4 linked regions of the Arabidopsis thaliana genome follow. The protein of the gene in region 4 interacts with the protein of the main gene of each other region in a pairwise test. Each region holds a gene or a part of one and is shown on either strand. Other genes may lie near its edges.

What was found.
Region 1: the proteins of RAP2.12 (region 4) and AT4G21450 interact in binary tests that used the Arabidopsis thaliana proteins (3 or more experiments, as listed by UniProt).
Region 2: the proteins of RAP2.12 (region 4) and ACBP1 interact in binary tests that used the Arabidopsis thaliana proteins (3 or more experiments, as listed by UniProt).
Region 3: the proteins of RAP2.12 (region 4) and ACBP2 interact in binary tests that used the Arabidopsis thaliana proteins (3 or more experiments, as listed by UniProt).

Annotation. Positions count from the first base shown.
Region 1 is NC_003075.7:11,423,998-11,428,925, reverse strand, and holds AT4G21450 (PapD-like superfamily protein), read right to left. Parts: upstream 2,970-4,928; 5' UTR 2,791-2,969; coding exon 2,433-2,790; intron 2,361-2,432; coding exon 2,304-2,360; intron 1,946-2,303; coding exon 1,875-1,945; intron 1,796-1,874; coding exon 1,714-1,795; intron 1,615-1,713; coding exon 1,496-1,614; coding exon of another isoform or gene 1,487-1,495; exon of another isoform or gene 1,235-1,486; coding exon 1,157-1,234; intron 1,070-1,156; coding exon 950-1,069; intron 861-949; coding exon 801-860; 3' UTR 540-800; downstream 1-539. Other genes in the region: AT4G21460 (Ribosomal protein S24/S35), read right to left, coding at 168-435; AT4G21445 (receptor-interacting protein), read right to left, coding at 3,336-3,503, 3,849-4,145. UniProt on the Arabidopsis thaliana protein: May play a role in vesicle trafficking.
Region 2 is NC_003076.8:21,708,250-21,713,168, reverse strand, and holds ACBP1 (acyl-CoA binding protein 1), read right to left. Parts: upstream 3,000-4,919; 5' UTR 2,673-2,999; coding exon 2,215-2,672; intron 1,829-2,214; coding exon 1,726-1,828; intron 1,604-1,725; coding exon 1,515-1,603; intron 1,312-1,514; coding exon 1,220-1,311; intron 1,139-1,219; coding exon 1,041-1,138; intron 955-1,040; coding exon 778-954; 3' UTR 555-777; downstream 1-554. Other genes in the region: GLT1 (NADH-dependent glutamate synthase 1), read right to left, coding at 3,540-3,800, 3,891-4,148, 4,278-4,545, 4,648-4,919. UniProt on the Arabidopsis thaliana protein: Binds medium- and long-chain acyl-CoA esters with very high affinity. Can interact in vitro with arachidonyl-CoA, barely with oleoyl-CoA, but not with palmitoyl-CoA.
Region 3 is NC_003075.7:13,845,662-13,850,488, forward strand, and holds ACBP2 (acyl-CoA binding protein 2), read left to right. Parts: upstream 1-1,887; 5' UTR 1,888-2,112; coding exon 2,113-2,600; intron 2,601-2,876; coding exon 2,877-2,979; intron 2,980-3,059; coding exon 3,060-3,163; intron 3,164-3,426; coding exon 3,427-3,518; coding exon of another isoform or gene 3,519-3,523; exon of another isoform or gene 3,524-3,603; coding exon 3,604-3,701; intron 3,702-3,788; coding exon 3,789-3,968; 3' UTR 3,969-4,273; downstream 4,274-4,827. Other genes in the region: FEY (NAD(P)-binding Rossmann-fold superfamily protein), read left to right, coding at 150-251, 373-465, 567-902; AT4G27790 (Calcium-binding EF hand family protein), read left to right, coding at 4,405-4,827. UniProt on the Arabidopsis thaliana protein: Binds medium- and long-chain acyl-CoA esters with very high affinity. Can interact in vitro with palmitoyl-CoA, but not with oleoyl-CoA. Binds to lead ions (Pb). May function as an intracellular carrier of acyl-CoA esters.
Region 4 is NC_003070.9:20,133,187-20,137,520, forward strand, and holds RAP2.12 (uncharacterized protein), read left to right. Parts: upstream 1-1,657; 5' UTR 1,658-2,055; coding exon 2,056-2,350; intron 2,351-2,613; coding exon 2,614-3,395; 3' UTR 3,396-3,827; downstream 3,828-4,334. UniProt on the Arabidopsis thaliana protein: Transcription factor involved in the activation of hypoxic gene expression and in ethylene response. Partially redundant with RAP2-2. Acts as a downstream regulator in the ethylene signaling pathway.

The sequences.
Region 1 (4,928 bases), on a different chromosome or scaffold from region 4:
GTTCAGGAGATAAGAAGCTACGAATCTTATATCGAAGGATCAATTGAAAACTGTGAGGCATTCAGAAATGGCGAGATGAGAATTAGACTCACACATTTCAACTAATACAAGGCCATTTCAAGTGTGAGGTAACCAAACAAGCTTGAAGAGAGGATAGAGTCTGTTACCTTTGTTGCTGACATCCTCTACAACGAGATCCTTCTTATCGGATGAATCAGTCGGCGAAGACTCAGTGGCAGTAGTCGAGTTCTCACCGGATTCGGAACTGAAAAATCTGAATTTGGGAGGAGCCGGAGCGGCGATTGGAGTGAGAAAGGGAACATTGGGGGAGATCCTAGAAGAAAGAATGATTCTGCGAGCGCAGAGAGATGCATTTCTGAACAGAGCTCCTCTCATGGTGTACCAGAGAGAGATTTGGATTTTAGTTTTCTTCATACGAACAAAAGAAGCTTCGGTTCGACCGGTTAAAGGATAAACCGAACGAATCAAATATAGAAACGACCGACCGGTTCATTTAGCACCGATTTAGTAATTGGAGAGCTCAAATTTCGATTTTAGTACACTTTCTTCTCTGTTTTTATTAGTCCTTAACATGAACAATTCATTATCATCAAACCCAAGTTTACATTTCTTTTTTACATGAAAAAAGTTTCCTTCATTGTCTTTTTTTTTTACCAGCATGATCCTTATATATTGCATCATGAATCTAGAAGTTAGCATATAAATTCAATATAGCGGTCCCTTCTTCTTCATCTTCACAAGCGCACTTGTTTTTGTCCTGAGAAAACTCTTTTAGTCTCTCAGACAGAGTCAGCTCCTTCGCCTTGTTGCTGTGCAAGATATCTCTCTCTACGCTCCTTCTGTGTTTTTATTAGAGGTAAGACAAAAACAATGTCAGATTTTCACAATCATCTAATGGAAGAGACACTGGATAGCAAATGAGACTGACCCATTCATCGATCACAAGCCCTTCTCCAATCATCTTTGGACCTGTTTCCTCTGGAGGTTTCTTTCGTGCCTCCACCGCTGCATCCGCTTCTGCTAATTGACGCTTCAGTTTTTCCAATGCCTATGTCATTTATCACATAGATTATTAAAGAGGGAGGTCGTAAAATAATAGAATCGTCATCATAAGCAAAATTATTCGGATACTCACAGGGTTGGAGCGCTCAGGATCCAAGAAAATCACACGCAATATTTGCTCCTTAGAGACATCATCCTTTTGCTCATCGAACTGAGAAAAAAACAAAAACAAAAGCAATCGATATGTCTTTTAGATGGAAACAGCATTCAGTGGAATGCTTGGTTATATGTTTGTGCCTTAAAAGGTAACTGGAAACCTCTACTCAGACCAAAACACATTCTTAGTCTAGTCATTGATATCTTATGTTTTAGAGATGGGTCAATATCTTATGTTCTATCTGGATTCGGATATGTTACTACTGTTTTCATGTTCAAAGATCAGCTAATAGATAAGATCAGAAGATCAACATACCAGCTCAGGCACATAGTCCATTGGACCTTTCACCTTCAGGCTCATGATTTTAAACTTCACTCTGCTCCTTTGATCCATTGGCTTCTCATTATTCTCAGGAGGCTCAACAAATTTAAACACTGCACATTTCAATCAGAGAAACATTGAATAAGCCATTGTTCTGATAGCCTCATCAAGAAGAATAAGAACAGAGGCGAGAAAACAAAAAAAACAAATACCAGTAGCAATAATAGTCTCTCCAGGAGCAAGAATAGCACCAGGTGGACGCATAAAGCAACTCTTCGGCGCAGTTGTTTGAAACTGAAAGAGCAACGAGTAAGCTCATATACAATAATGCCAAAGACCCAATAACCAAAACGCTTTAGATCAAAAAACAAACCTTGAAGGCTACATGTGATTTGCTTGTATTTTTAATCTTAATAGCACTCCTAACTTGCTTCCCAGGCTCATCTTCAAAACAAAGTAATAATCTAATTCAGTACTCCACAGCATTACTTGTAACAGAAAACAACTAAACTTCCAAAATCCAAATCATGAAGAAAAAAAAAACATGGCCTAAGTATACACCAAAACCTTCCTGCAAAATCATTTGATAGCTAAAATCATTCGTATCTATAAAAGACTCCTAATTTCAGAATGCTTAAAGGAAGACCATATTTAGAGTAATGGTAAGTTAGAATTATAATCCAATGTCAAGATTCTGCTCTTAACTTCCAAAAAGTTTCAAACTTTATGTTTCCTATTGAGTCAATTATCAAACTTATGTATCAATCCACATAATCAGATCAGTCAAATACTCAAATTCTACTAAAAGATAGAAATTTTAGACTAGTGTCAATGGATCTCAAATCTTCAGAAACAAACCCTAGACAATGAAAAAAAGACTGTAATTCCAGAGAAACTACTCCGATCAAAATGAGATTCGAAAAAAGCTCACAAGGAAAATAGAGTTTCTCAGAAGGATCAAGCTTCAATCTTCGTTTAGTAGGAAGAAAAGACTTAGCAACAGATGAAACTGAAGGAGAAGGAGTCGGATGTTGATTTTGACCCGATCCATCACCGTGAGGACCGTTATAACCAAGCTGATGATGGTGCTGATGGTGATGTTGATGATGATGTTGATGATGGTTATGTAGATGAGAAGAAGTAGAAGAAGAAGAAGCTCCAGATGGAAACGGAGAAGTAGCAGCACTTGAAGCGGCGTTTCTGTGACCGCTTGAGTTACGAAATGGAATCTTGAAGAAACCCCAACCTCCTTTGCCGTCGGAAGTTGGTTTCTCCTCCGTCATAGTCATCTTCTTCTCTCAGAGTTTAAGCATGCGAATTTCGACGGAGAAAGGGGTTGACTCGTGATGAGAGCTCAGAGAGGAGAGATCGGACGTGAGATGGTGAGAGAGAAGTGGATTTAATTGGTTGATTTCGCGTCCGTGTTTTGTCTGAAAATAATTTTGTAATTATTTAATATCCGATGGCTTGATTAACGGAAGGAAAAAAGTCGATAGAGACTTTGCTCAAAAACGACAGCGTATTGGATTCTCTTTGTGTTTATTTAAGTCTTTTCTTCTACAACTTTTGGATTTTCTTTCAAAGTCTTTTCTTTTTTAATTGTTTGTTTACTGTTGTCTTTTTTCCTGGTTTCTAGATAAAATTTAAACCTTTTCTTTATGTATTTCAGTCATGGATAATATTTGGAATTGTTGAATACGTTTTATTGTAGGACTTAACAAAAGGTTTATATTTTCCTAGTCAGACCACAATAGACTAATTAAGACTTACGATACATATTCACCTTGTTAATGATCATACTTTTGTGTGGCTTGAATGTAAAAAATAAGGATATTTAAAAAGGAAAATCGGGATCATCCCATTGAAGAACAGCAGATTCAATGTTATGCTCTCTCTTCAGCTTGTCCTTAAGGAACCAATCACATATTTTGCCAGCATTCAACTCTTCTATTGAACATCCTTCTTGCTCTGATATCACTCTTAGCAAATTCAATGATGATATCTGCCAAATCCAGTTCCAAAATATAAGAAGAAGTTCATACGAAACATCTATAAATCAATGTACATGCTTCTAAGAAAAATGATATTCCAGTTATTTACTTAATGTACATATGTTTACTATAGACTGTTAATCACACTTCATTTCTTGAGGACGTGTTATAAGATTTTCTTTTGTTTCACAACTACATATGGTTTCAATTTCCTATGTAAAATTAATGTTTCATTTCCTATCTTAACCATACCAATATATTTCAAAACAATGTAAGAGATTTATTAATAGATTGCAATTAAAATTTGGTATTGGAGGGTTTATAATATGTAGGGATAAATTTATGATTTAATTTACCGTTAGTCGACAGAGAAACTTCTCGTGTGCACCAAGGCCTGAGATTTCGACTAGACCAGCTTCTGCTAAGCTCAAGAAACTTCTTCTCTCAGGCTTGTTTTGATCGTCGGATTCTTCTTCTCCGGTCTCGGCACTTGCTCTTACCAAACAAAGTCCCATCGTTCTTCTTCTTCCATGAGTACTTGTCATGAATGTAATATTATTTGATCTTGCCTGTCGAGTCCTTGCAAAAGTCTTGTCTATGTGAGGATTTACGATGAATTTTGAGTGACGGTAATTATGAATGGCAATGTTCATAGTGACACCAAACTCTCTTTACTTTTCTTTCTCGGTGAGTTAGAGGGTGAAGATGACTAGATGAGGATAACACTTATCCGTTATGTTCGTTGCTTTGCTTTGGAATATTTTAGTGGTGAAGAATGAGTTTGTATTTTGGGCTCTTTTGGTGTTTTAATTTGGGCTTTGGAATTTGTGGGTTTTCTTCTTTTATAGAGTGGACCTTGTTTAGAATTTATTTCATATTTTTGTGTATTTAAATCACTATTTAATAAGATATGCATGTACTTAGAAATTGAAATGTTGGAACTTGGAAGTCCTTGTATAAAATAAAATAAAAATACAAAAGATAACATAACCTTGTGATGGAATAAAGACTTTTGAATAAGAGCTAAGATAAAAAAATTTTATTTTAAAAGCTAAGATAATTTGATCGTAATATAATTCATATATATATATATATATATATATACACATATATATATATATAGATGAATTTGATTAAGTACATATTTTTAATCAACTCCATATTTACGAGATTACTTCTATATTAATGGGTTACATTAACTGAAACATAAATAATTTTTGTTTATTAGGTTGTATTTATTAATATATATTATAGATTTTAGATCAACTAATCCTGGAAAACAAAAAAAGTGAAAACGCAATTTTCCAGAGAGTTCTCGAGTGTGTTGCTGTCTTTCCTCCAAAATTCATATGATAATTTTTAATATTATCAAGGTTTCCCATCAACTCTATTATCGAGCAAATACCAAAAAAATGACCAATATATATATAATCAAA
Region 2 (4,919 bases), on a different chromosome or scaffold from region 4:
TTTTGTTCAGTGTATCCTAATATTTTTATAAAAACTATATATAGGAAAATATCTTTTAAAATTACCCAATTAAAAAAAAGTTGTATAAATCTTCTAAATATGAAAATTTGTTTCCAATCATAATTGTTTGTTCAGTGTATCTTATTTTTTTCAAATAAAAACATAAATAGAAAAAAATCTGAATTACCCAATATATATATAAAAAGGGAAAATATTTTTCTTTATGATTTTTGCACACTAAAAATATATTTCTGATTAAAGAATTGATATAATCTGGAGTGATTATGTCGTACATCGCGTGTTGGGTGGTCCTTATCTGAACCCCACCTTATATATTCTCATCGTTAATTAATCAACGGTCCGGATTGTTTTACAGCGAGATGCGAAGAAGAAGATTTTTTTTCTTTTCTTATTCCGAAGGTACAATTTGTATCATATTTAAAATACTTATAAATTTTACAAGTAATCAACAAAATTGTTTTACAGGTATGATAATAATGATTCAGATGGCTGAAAAAACATGAAAGGGTCACGAACGAAAGAGAGAAACATTATACTAACAAAAAAAAAACTATTATTGAGTTATGATGATTGATGATGATGATCTCTCTGGGTTCAATATAGTAACCAATAAAAACTAGAGCTACTATATCATATGTAACTTGTGTTGTTGTATGTTAAAACATAAGCTTAAGAGGAAGCAAAGAGGCTCAGAGGAAATGTAAGAAAAACACAAGCATCTAGCTTTGACACACAATTTTAAAGACTTAAAAAACACTAATTGGAATCCTTCTTCTCTCGCATCCAAGACCATTCTGATTCACAGAGATCAAGAGGCGAGTTTCCGTCTTCGTCTTTAATGGTTGTATCAGCTTTCTGCTTCACCAGAAACTCGGCGAGTGCTTCTCTTTCGCACACAACAGCATAGTGTAGAGAGGTTTGGCCTTCATTGTCCTGCACAAAGTTTGTCAGCGACAAAAACATAAAAGTCTGTAATTGAGAGAAAGAATTAGTTTAGGGGGTTTTGGTTATTTATTTACTTTAGCATTCACATCTGCGTTCTTATCAACCAGAGCTTCAGCAACGTTAAGATGGCCACGGTCTATAGCCCAATGCAGTGGTGTTCGACCTTCACTATCTGACATTTCCAAGATGGAGAAACTGTTAAGTTTCCAAACCAGATCCGAACATTCTGTGAAAATGATACAAGACTACTAACCTCTTGCATTTACGGGTATGCCATTTTCTATGCATTTCAATAGATTCTCGACTTCTCCTTCTCTAGCAAAGGCGTGTATGGCGTCAATCTTCCTGGAACATGGAGTAAGAACGCAAGAATGAACAGAGCTTCTACTATGATTTAAACTAACACATGATTCTTTGATCTACCTAAGGTGAGTATTATGATATATACATTCCTTCTCTGATCTAGTCAGCTAGTCATATAGAGAAACTGAGAAAAGAAAACCAAAAGTTCATAGATGAATCTGTAACTAATTGCTTAGGAACCTTACAACTCATTGTCAGATTCCTCTTCGTACACCAATGAGCTAAAAACCGGTCCCATGGGGCCTGCAGCCTCACCACTCCGATTTCTTCGTTTCTAATAGTCCGCAACGAAGCAAACAAGCCAAGAAATAAAGACAGATTTAAGAACGAAAACAGACCATCCATAAACAGTCCAAAGAAATGGGAATAACAGAAGCAGGTAAGAAGACAACTAACCGAGCCACCTTCAACCCAAGCTGGGTAAAGCTGAGTAACAAGGTCGATATACTTCTCCATCGCTTCCTCAGGAGGCATAGCACCCAATTTCTGCCATGCTTGCCTAGAACAAAAAAGATCATAACAAATCTCAGTCGATCAAAATGCATCCCTAAGTTACCAATCAACAAAACAACAAAAGCAAATCCTTTCGGTACTCACACAAAGCAAGATACATCCAGGATGAAGAATAATCAGTACATCACAAGTAAACATGATTAAGTAACAATCTTCACAGTCATAAGATTTGAATCAGATCACTAATCAATACACCAACAAAAGCAATCCTTTCCATACATTAGCAATGAAAGATACGAACTTGGTGAAATCAAAATAATATACATCCATGATCAAGAAACATCAGTACATCACAAGTAAACATGATCAAGCAATCATCTTTCACAGTCCCAAACATTTGAATCAGAGAATCAATAAGAGTGTTAGACAAACCACTTGGCACGAGCAGTCATTTTAAGAGCTGATGGTTGAGGAGCAGTACAAGGTCCTTCAGTAGCAATTTTATACAATCCATAAAGCTGAAGTTGCAACTCATTAGAAACTTTCTGCGAAAGCCTATCCGATGCAGCAGCAGCAACAAAAGCCGTAGCAGCACTAAATGCCTCATCAAGTTCTGTACTTTCGACACCTTCCCAATCATCATCATCTGATTCATCTTCATCACCTCTCAAGCTACCTTGCTCAGCTATAAGAGAATCAGTCTCGCCGCTAATCCCAGTTAAAGTTTCGACCTTTCGCAAGTTCTCATACTCCGATTGAGTCGTGTGGTTACGAGTGAGTGAGAGATTCTCGTCTTTAAAAGCGAGGAGGATAGAGATTAGCTTAGCGAGAAGGTAAGCGAAGATCAAACCAAAGATTATAGACTGTGCAAGCTGATACCAATCAGCCATTTCCCCCAAATCGAATAAGAAAGTAAACCCAATAGAGATTCAAACACAACGAACTCGAAATCTGAGAAAATGAACCCTAAATTTCAAAGAAGGGTCACAATAACGCATCTCCAGAAACAAAAAGGAGCCACCTTTTTGGAACTCTTGTTTTCACCGCTTCACAATTTTCTTTTTCTTTACTTTTTTTTTGTTTTCTCTTTGTGGGCTTGTCTTTTGTTGAAGACCAGAGACAACTGAGGAATTACACGTAGGATTGAATGGTTGCGACGAGAGACAACTGACGAATCCGTTTGTTAATTGGACCGCTTTTCATCTACCAACTGGTTGGGACCGAGAAAAAATGAAGAAATTTGTTGGAGACAAACTACATACCGGTTTTACATACCTCAATCTTCACTGTGTAATTGAAGATCATTTTTTTCACTATTTTACTGAGCAAGTCTTATGATTCCTAACATTGTTTACAGTTTACACCACCATAAATAATATGAAAGAACACAAAGAGGGCAAAAACAAGAAGCAGGAACTGCATTACAATTCCTTAAAATTCAAACTTAGAAACAGCCATAGAGAAAAAACAAAAGGCTTTCAATTTCAGAAAGCTTTAACAAAAGAAAGCTACTGAAATCCTACAAAGAGAATGTACTTATGAATCATTATTACTTTATGGACGATAATAAACAAAAACAAACCTAAACTTTTACTTCTCTCTACTAAATCATCAAGTTCGGTACTTTTCCTCTGCAACTCTCTTCCTTCATCTCTGCCATAAGTCGGTCCTTTACGCCTGTGTGTCCTCTAAAAGAGTAACATCAGTTGTCTTTCTCTCTCGACTTTTGCTTCAGATGAGTAAGGCTTTCTTTTACCTCAGTTTGTGATAGTGTTGTGTTTCATCTGGTTAAGGTCTTGTTGTAGCTTGGCGTCTTCGTCATCATCCGTTTTGGTGAGGAATTTGTCTACCTGATCTGCAGCTTGACGTCCTTCTGAGATAGCCCAGACAACCAAAGACTGGCCTCTCCGACAATCACCTGCTGCGAAAACACCTTCCACGGTTGTGGAAAACCGGCCATACTCGGCCTTAAAGTTTGACCTGTTGTCACATTCGAGACCTAGCTTCTCAGCAAGTGTCTGTAAAAACAAAAACAAGCAATTGGTTTTAAATCATTGCCACAAGACCCACAATATATAAGAAGAGGGTACACAACGGGAATCACTTACTGGCTCAGGTCCAAGGAAACCCATGGCCAAGAAAACGAGGTCTGCTTCAATGATTTCCTCAGAGCCTTCGATCTCCTTGAACTGGAACCTCCCGGTTTCATCCTTCTCCCAACTCACACGCACAAGTTCAAGCCCCTTCACGTTTCCATTGTCATCTCCTATGAACCTCTTCGTTAAGACCTCATAGGTCCTAGGGTCTTTTCCGAATTTGGTGGTAGCTTCTTGATGTCCGTAGTCAATACGGAATACACGAGGCCACTGTATTCACACGGAAGCTCATTAAAATCAACAATATCCAACCTTGCTCACAACTCTTTTTAATCCAATGGATGCAAAAATCTTGAAGAAGTTGCTAAAAGGATTGAGTGTAGAAGATCTGAAACAAACCTGTGGCCAAGGGTTTCCAGGAGCTCTTGTTGAGGGTGGCTGAGGAAGAAGTTCTAGGTTTACAATGTTGGTACATCCATGGCGGATAGATGTTCCGATGCAATCTGTGCCGGTATCACCTCCACCAATAACAACAACCTTTTTCCCTTTTGCAGAAATGTAATTGCCATCCTCATGATTGCTGTCAAGTAAACTTTTGGTGTTTGCATGAAGAAACTCCATGGCAAAGTGAACACCAGATAGATCACGACCAGGCACTGGAAGATCTCTGCAAAATTACCCCAATAATGTCTCGGTTAGTTCACCATAATCCATTTGAACGTCTGGTAACATAAATAGGAATTCAGCATTGTTTGAAACAAAATATTACCTTGGTTTTGTGGAACCAACAGCAAGAACGATTGCATCATTCTCTTCCTTAAGTCCATCAAGGGAGTAAGATGGGTCCTTTCCAATATTGGCATTGACCACAAAGTTGATACCTTCTTTGGTCATAAGATCAACCCGCCGTTGAACGACGTCAATTTTGTCAGTCTTCATGTTTGGTACTCCATACATCATCAGCCCACCAATTCTGTCCGAGCGCTCATACACGGTTACTAAATGGCCCATTTTGTTCAGCTGGTCAGCCGCAGCTAACCC
Region 3 (4,827 bases), on a different chromosome or scaffold from region 4:
AATACGCTTCCATGACTGCACTATGTCATTACTCATTTCAGAAGAATTCTGTGCCTGGCTGTTTATGAAAACTGAAACAGTTTATATTTATTGTCTTTGATTATTACTTTTTCATGCAAGATAATGGGTTGTGGGATTCACTTTTGTAGATGCATAGTGTCGGTTTTGTTGACCCGGATGACATGAATGTTGTTTCTGGTAGACGTAAGTACTCAAGCCTTATAGGATACTCAAGCAGCAAGCTTGCCCAGGTGAGCTTACAGTAATGACATCTGCCGTAGTTTTCATCTGCCGTAGTTTCCATTTTCTGAAAGAGGCTTATTTTCAGAAACTGGTGAGTTAAGTCTCGCTCTCTGATCTTCCATCTTCCAGATTATGTTTAGTAGCATTCTTTTCAAAAAGCTTCCTCTGGAAACAGGAGTCAGCGTCGTATGTCTATCCCCTGGTGTTGTCCTAACAAATGTTGTGAGTATTAGCTTCACTTCATTTCGTTACAAGTGCAGGATTCCTCTGTTTTCTCAGAAATTCATTGCGTTGAACTGCCTATTTCTTTCCGAAATTTACAGGCCAGGGATCTATCCAGGATTCTTCAAGCTCTTTACGCAGTGATACCTTATTTCATATTTTCACCCCAAGAAGGTTGTAGAAGTTCTCTATTCTCGGCCACAGATCCTCAGATTCCAGAGTACTGGGAAACACTAAAAAACGATGATTGGCCTGTTTGCCCATTCATCTCTCAAGATTGCCGCCCTGCAAATCCTTCCGAAGAAGCACACAACACAGAAACTGCACAGAGAGTGTGGAAAAAGACGTTAGAGCTGGTGGGTCTTCCTCTCGATGCAGTTGAGAAGCTCATAGAAGGGGAAAATATCCAATGCCGGTATGGAGCACAACACGAATAGTCTTTCAAAATTACCACAGGTTAAGTGACCCATTACAGATCAAAGGGTAGGTAATTGAGAAAATATCTTTTTTTTTTGTTTCCTTGTATTAATCTACACGATACAGTGGGGAATGAATCCCCCAGGCATGTAGTTTGCTTGAGAATGTTTGATTGTTGGATAAAAGTCAAGCTTTAGCTACCATTCCATTGCTTTTACTTACAAGTCTTGTTCAAGTATTTGGTTAGTGTGTCTTGGAGTTATTAAGATGTTCAGTAGTAGAGTATGGTAGCCTGGGTTGGTGGGTAGTTTCTTGTTTGAGTTTAGGGTATTTTCGTAATTTTCTTTATTGTTTGTGGAGTCACGTTGCTCATATATAGTTATAGGGATATATATCAATTAGAGTCATCATCTCTCTTACTCTCATGGTGACAAAGTCACAAAAGTGATAAACTCTCCTTTCCACTTTCTAATGTTTCTTGCTTAAATGAGTATTCCATGTAAAAATGATTCACTCACTCGTATGGGTGGGTTGGGTTTTCTCTTCATGAGATGCTCATTTGAGCAAGCAATGTTTGGAAGTGGGACTATTTAATATCATGTATGAGTTTTATCTTTTGTTATAAGAAAAAAAGTTGGGATTTCATTTTCGTGCCCACTTCACGTGAATCTAATGCCTTCAAGTTTGTGGTCTACCTTATTTTCTCTTATGGATACATGTCAATTTACGTGTCGTATGAGTCAAGCCTTTAATCATCCCAACACCATGCACGTCTTCTAGATTTGTTTTCGACCACGATTCCACCACAAAATTTGACATTGTTATTGAATTCATTAACTTTTTTACGTGTTATTGTGAAATATTTATTTAATTTTGTTGGTAAAAGGAGCAAAAAAGATTAGGGTACAACACGTCGACTTCTTCCCCAATTAGACCCATATGTGATCTGTCGTCACTCGTCGCCAAGTTTTTTTATGTGTCGTCTTTTAAACTTTGATCCAATTCATTAAAAAGTCTTAACGCCCACAACGAAAAGGAACTTCTCTTTTTGTTTGGTGACTGAATCGGTGGAAAACAACACAAGTTTGTTCCTTTTTGTCTCTCCAGATCCCTTGGCTTCCTTCTTCTTCTTCATCCTCCTCGTGAGACTCTGTGTTGAAATTTCTCTAGGGTTTTAATTATCGGCGTTGGTTTTTCGTTTTTGAGAATTTGATTTCGTTTTTAGAAATAATGGGTGATTGGGCTCAACTTGCTCAGTCTGTGATCCTAGGTTTGATTTTCTCTTACCTTCTCGCTAAGCTGATCTCGATCGTCGTCACGTTTAAAGAAGACAATCTCTCTCTTACTCGTCACCCAGAGGAGTCTCAATTGGAAATTAAACCGGAAGGAGTTGACTCGCGACGTCTCGATTCCTCTTGCGGTGGTTTCGGTGGTGAGGCGGATTCGCTTGTGGCGGAGCAGGGTAGCTCCCGAAGTGATAGCGTTGCCGGTGACGACAGTGAGGAAGATGATGATTGGGAAGGCGTCGAGAGCACGGAACTCGATGAGGCTTTTAGCGCCGCCACTCTTTTTGTGACTACCGCCGCCGCAGATCGGCTTTCGCAGAAGGTACCGAGTGATGTGCAGCAGCAGCTTTACGGATTGTATAAGATTGCTACGGAAGGGCCGTGTACTGCTCCTCAGCCATCAGCTCTCAAAATGACTGCTCGTGCCAAGTGGTATCTCTCTCTTTCGTTGAATCTGCTGTGCCATTAACTTCTATGTATCATTTTCTGGTGTTTTTGTTCAACTGTTTGAGATTTGATTTGAGGTGGAAATTTTTGAGGTTTTAGGTTCTTCATAGACAATCACCTAGTTTGCTTCTTAGCTTATGCAACTGCTGGACGATGATGTGGTTTTTACTGTTGTAACAGTTGATTGTATATGGAATTGTGGTTTGTTGTAAGATTGCAATTTCATTGATTGGGATGTGCCATGATCTTGTTCTATCTCAGGCAAGCATGGCAGAAACTGGGAGCTATGCCACCTGAAGAGGCGATGGAGAAGTATATTGAGATTGTCACTCAGCTTTACCCAACTTGGTTAGACGGTGGCGTGGTATAAAGCTTTTTCCCCTTTTCTTTGTTTGATTGCTTCGGTTTCTTCCTCTGGCCTGTTCATGTGAGCTTCACTAACAGAAAGCCGGAAGTCGGGGTGGGGATGATGCAGCCTCCAACTCAAGAGGAACCATGGGACCAGTTTTTAGCTCTTTGGTTTATGATGAGGAGTCCGAAAATGAGTTGTAAGGTTCTCTTCTTGTATTCTCATGTGTTTTATATCCTGATCCTTGCGTTCATGTCTAGATTAGATATAAGTATCCTGATTTGTGAAAGAGGCTCATAAACTCGGTGAATATGTAACATTACTGTCTCGTTCTAGCTGTAGCAAATTTTGATGGTGAAATGGCTACAATTGTCTCATGGAACTTTGAGCTGTTCGTTTCTTCCTGTCTATCTGAATGAAACACTAATCCTCTGCTCATTGAACTTTTGTTTTATCTCTCAGGAAGATTGATGCCATACACGGATTTGCTAGAGAAGGAGAAGTCGAGAATTTACTGAAAAGCATTGAAAGCGGCATTCCTGTAAATGCAAGGGGTTAGTCTCTGCTTGTATATTCCGTTTCTTGGAAGTTCATTCTCGTGATGTTGGATCTGCATTCTAATTTTCCCATAAACTGCAGACAGTGAAGGTCGCACACCATTGCACTGGGCTATAGACCGTGGCCACCTCAACATCGCCAAAGTTCTGGTCGATAAGAACGCCGATGTGAATGCTAAGGTGACGAAAGAGAAATTCCTACCCAGTCATTATCTGCAAAGTTAGCAACTTCTTTATTTATGTGTTTTTGGTTCTTGTGTTGAACAGGACAACGAAGGCCAAACCCCTTTGCATTATGCTGTTGTATGCGACAGAGAAGCTATCGCCGAGTTTCTGGTTAAACAGAACGCAAACACAGCCGCTAAAGATGAGGATGGAAACTCTCCCCTTGATCTCTGTGAATCAGACTGGCCCTGGATCCGAGATTCTGCAAAGCAGGCAGACTAAACAAATACTAACCACGTCTTCTCTAAATCCGCAATGTATATGATCAAATGACTTAGTAAGAAGCTTTTCTTTACTTTAAACTTTCTTTCCATCCCTACCACATCACTGGGATGTTCCAACACTATATCACTTGGATGTTACCAAGTCTTGTTCTTTGATTTCTTTCTTCTTACATTTTAACAATCTTTTGTTCCTTTAGGCTTTATGATATGTCGTAACCGGTTTTGTTGGTTTGCTATAAATACACACATATAGACAGAGGAAGAGTCATTGGATCCTCAACGAATAAATAACCGACTTTGGCGGCAAAAACGGTTGATAGAACATAATTTAATGATTTAAGGAAAGCCCCCAATAAAGCAAATACAAAAACAGAATTAGCAATCTTCGTGGCCCTTTCGTCTTCTCTCCCTACCCCACCTTGGACTACCGGAAAATGGCCAAGGTGGTGGTTTACACGATACTAACCGCCACCATCATCTTCCTCATCCTCCTCGCTCATAAGAAACAAAACCAGACTCAATCCATTGAGGGTCTCATAACCCGCCGCATCGGACGGAGGCTTGAAATGCCGGTGTTTGACCCTTTGGTGACCCGGATTGAGAGGTTGTCTCATGAGAAAGAAGCTGGTACGAAGACCGTGGAGGCTGCGAAAGAGGAGAAAGATGATATGTTTGAGGAGTATTTTGCACAAGAGAGAAGGCTTAACACGACAATGAGGATCAAGTTCTTGTTTCCTCTGCTTGACGCGTCTCCAAGAGATGGCTTTGTGAGCTTGAAAGAGCTTCAGACATGGATGATGCAACAGACAGAAGACAACATGGTTTACAGAACCGCCAAAGAGCTTGAGCTACAAGAT
Region 4 (4,334 bases):
CAGATTGGATCGTGACATGATGGATATGAACTGGATAAAGAATTATTTTAAAGAAGAAAATCTCTCTGATAAATAAATTATTCGATTTGCTTCTTTTTTTTTTATGTATGGGAGATATTTTAAATGTATGTGACAGGGACATAGACACTCTTTGGTTGAGAAGATATGAACAACTCATTTAGTCACGTGTTGAATATGTACAGGCCAAAATACTGTATTTTAAACAATTGGAATTATTGTTTTACTTGTCAAGTGATCACTTTGTTCAACCCAATTCCCCAACTAATTTATTGTTTTATAGTGTCACACTGTCACGAGTAACTAAGCAGGTTCGTGGTCTCGGCCCAATTAAAAGGCCAATCAATTAAACTAAATGCAAGTGCCTATAACTCGACCTATGAAGCCCACTATCTTAGCGATTCGGCCCAAAAAGACAACTTGCCTTGTGTAAAATGATTTCACTTTGTATCCATCCAATGATTCCAATTAATGAGAAGTTATGTTCAGATTTAAGAATTCCAGTTAGTGAACAAAAAATCAACTACTGGAATTTGTTTTGCTTCTTATAAATTTGGTTAGAAAAACAAAACATAAGGTTTATATCTATAAACACAAAGAAATTGTACTAATGTACAGTTCCGAAACGAGTATAGTCAATTATTAAAAGTTAAAATAGTGAAACAAATAATTGCTCCATGAATGACATATTGACATCATTATCTGTTTCTTTGAGATAAGCTAATTTAGGAACTTGTCTCAATCCTGTAAAATGATTTGGACCCTACCTATTTTATTCATCTGTCTTTCTTTGCGTTCACAATTTGATCTTAATATATAAATATATAGTACATGATTGCACTAATATATATATATATATATATATATATATATATTATATGTAGTATAACTATACACGTATGAAGTTGAATTTTATAAAATAAAATTTTCTTTTAACTGAATTTCCAATAGTTGTTTATACATAATTTAGAAAGTTGCAACCATAAAATATATTTCACCATAAAACAACAAAATATGGTTTCCACGTACACATACACATAACACATACCTACTGAATATTCCGTAATTTACGATGCCTGATAATTTGGACCTAATAAAGTTAGTTAAGAGTAAACAGAATTACAAGGAAATTTTAAATTGAGTTTAAGAAAACTAGTAATTGATTTGGAATGCTAGTTATCAAACAAAAGGACAAATATATTTTTCGGATTATTTTTAATAACTTTTTTGTTTGTCACGAAACGACAAAAGCTTTGTCATAAAAACCAAATCCTATCAACTTGCTCAAAAAGCTTCAATAATATCGTACGTGTCCTGCACACGCAGATTCATAAATGTGTTTCTATGCTTTTACAATTTTAGCCTTATGCATAACAGCATAAGGTCTTAATGGTCCTCTCTCCTAATCAAAATTACATTCAAAAGTTGTTGTATAGTTTTTCATTATATTTTCAATAATTCATTTATTTTGTGCCTATGTTAAAACATTTTCATAATTCATTTATAATATTATTTAAATTTAAATGTTAAATATCTGTTCTGCGTTGGCTACTCCTGAATGCAAACAACATTGCAAAAGTATTTAGTTGTGTTTTTAATGCCTAATCACATTAATAGATACTAGATCTAAGGGAAATAGACTTTATGAAAAAATCAATTGACGTTAGGTAAAAATTTGTTTAGACTATTTTTGTCTACCAGCAGACAACTCTGACTAAATTTTTAATCTTATTTACTGCAACTAACTATTAATAAACTAATAAAATCCTAATTTACAATATAGATCTACAGTAAATGAATATAAAAGTCTGGTAGTACCGTAAATAGTACATCAAGATAAGGGTATAATAGTAAACAACCATCGTACTCGCTTCATCTTTTATTTTACTCTAAAATCTCTTTCTGAAGAAAACAACAAAGCAAAGCGTTGAAGAGAGAAGAAGAAGCAAAGATATAACCCCCAAAAGTATCAATTAGTTTCCATTTTCGCCGCTAAGATTCTGTTTTCGAACATTTACACCCTCAAGAATCGCCGCCATGTGTGGAGGAGCTATAATATCCGATTTCATTCCACCGCCGAGGTCTCGCCGTGTTACTAGCGAGTTTATTTGGCCGGATCTGAAGAAGAATTTGAAAGGATCGAAGAAAAGCTCGAAGAATCGTTCGAATTTCTTCGATTTTGACGCTGAGTTCGAAGCTGATTTCCAAGGTTTCAAAGATGATTCGTCTATCGATTGCGATGATGATTTCGACGTCGGTGATGTTTTCGCCGATGTGAAACCATTCGTTTTCACTTCGACTCCAAAACCCGCCGTCTCCGCCGCTGCGGAAGGTAAATATTTAGGGATTGACTTTAGTTTGAGCGATTGAATTGGTTAGAAATTAAGTTTCGATTCTATTTAGCTCTGTTCATAGATACCTTTATCTGCTTACGATTTTGATTGTTGTATAAAGCATGAGGTTTGATTTGTGTGATATTTATATGCATATGAGGTTGAGTGATGAGACTTGATTTGTGTGATGAGATTTGATTAGAGATTGTTGATGAGTTATTTATAGAAGAACTCTTTTGTTTTGTTGTTGTTTCACTACTAGGTTCAGTTTTTGGTAAGAAAGTTACTGGCTTGGATGGGGACGCTGAGAAATCTGCAAATAGGAAGAGGAAGAATCAGTACCGAGGGATTAGGCAACGTCCTTGGGGAAAATGGGCTGCTGAGATACGTGATCCAAGGGAAGGTGCTAGAATCTGGCTTGGAACGTTCAAGACAGCTGAGGAAGCTGCTAGAGCTTACGATGCTGCAGCGCGGAGAATCCGTGGATCTAAAGCTAAGGTGAATTTCCCTGAAGAAAACATGAAGGCTAATTCTCAGAAACGCTCTGTGAAGGCTAATCTTCAGAAACCAGTGGCTAAACCTAACCCTAACCCAAGTCCAGCTTTGGTTCAGAACTCGAACATCTCCTTTGAAAATATGTGTTTCATGGAGGAGAAACACCAAGTGAGCAACAACAACAACAACCAGTTTGGGATGACAAACTCCGTTGATGCTGGATGTAATGGGTATCAGTATTTCAGCTCTGACCAGGGTAGTAATTCTTTCGATTGTTCGGAGTTTGGTTGGAGCGATCAAGCTCCGATAACTCCCGACATCTCTTCTGCGGTTATCAACAACAACAACTCAGCTCTGTTCTTTGAGGAAGCCAATCCAGCTAAGAAGCTCAAGTCTATGGATTTCGAGACACCTTACAACAACACTGAATGGGACGCTTCACTGGATTTCCTCAACGAAGATGCTGTAACGACTCAGGACAATGGTGCAAACCCTATGGACCTATGGAGTATTGATGAAATTCATTCCATGATTGGAGGAGTCTTCTGAAGAGATCCAGTTTCATGTAAATAAGGCTGCATGTTTGTGAGTTTCCCGCATCGTTCGTTTATCAACCTCCAAAACTTTCTAATGTCTGTTACTTGCATCTTCTTCTGCTGTCTCTGTCTGTCTCTCTCAGGAGTTCCTGTTTGCATTGCGAGAAGCCATGAGCCTCTATCTTGAGGGTAGTTGTGATGAAGTTAAGTAGAGGCTTATTTTTAGGGGTTGTGGTAGTTTTTGTTTTAGTGAATCTTTTGAATTCGTTTGTGTTTTGTTTTTGTTACTTTATGCCCCAAAACTCCTTTAACATTTGTCATAATGTGTTTGAACCTCTCATCTGTTTAATCAAATAAATCTTCTTTGTATGCTACTAAGAGTATGTGAGAACTGTTGAACATAACAAAGAAGTCACAAGCTAAGTTTGAACCAAACCGGTTCTCGTAAATTTGTGATCAGAAAAAAAGCGGTGATCAACTGATCATCAAAGTGATTGCCTAGAGAAGTGCGCCACTTTTGTTATTTTGTGGTACAATGAATCTAGAGGGAACAAACGTTGAAACGACGACGTTAAACGACAGAAGAATCTCTAAAGGTTGAACTCTCTTTTTGCAAGTGGTAACTGGTGAGTTTGTGTCTTTCTCGTGACCGTTTCCTTATGATAACAGAAAATAAAAGAGAGTAAATTAACTCTTCTGGACAGTTCTGCTTCTTTAGGTCATTTTCACTCTGTATAAATATCTAAGCATTAGCACACATTCTTTATTTTTTACTGAAACATATTTATATGTATTTGGTAATTTAATCTACTGATTTTTCATATAAATTGTTGTTAGTTACCGTATTACTGTCAAAATGTAGCCCAAAATGTAAGTGTCAAGGTGCTTTGAGTTGTGTGATGACAAGTTTGACATAACATTTGGTTTCTCCTATTATTGTGAAGAAATGAAA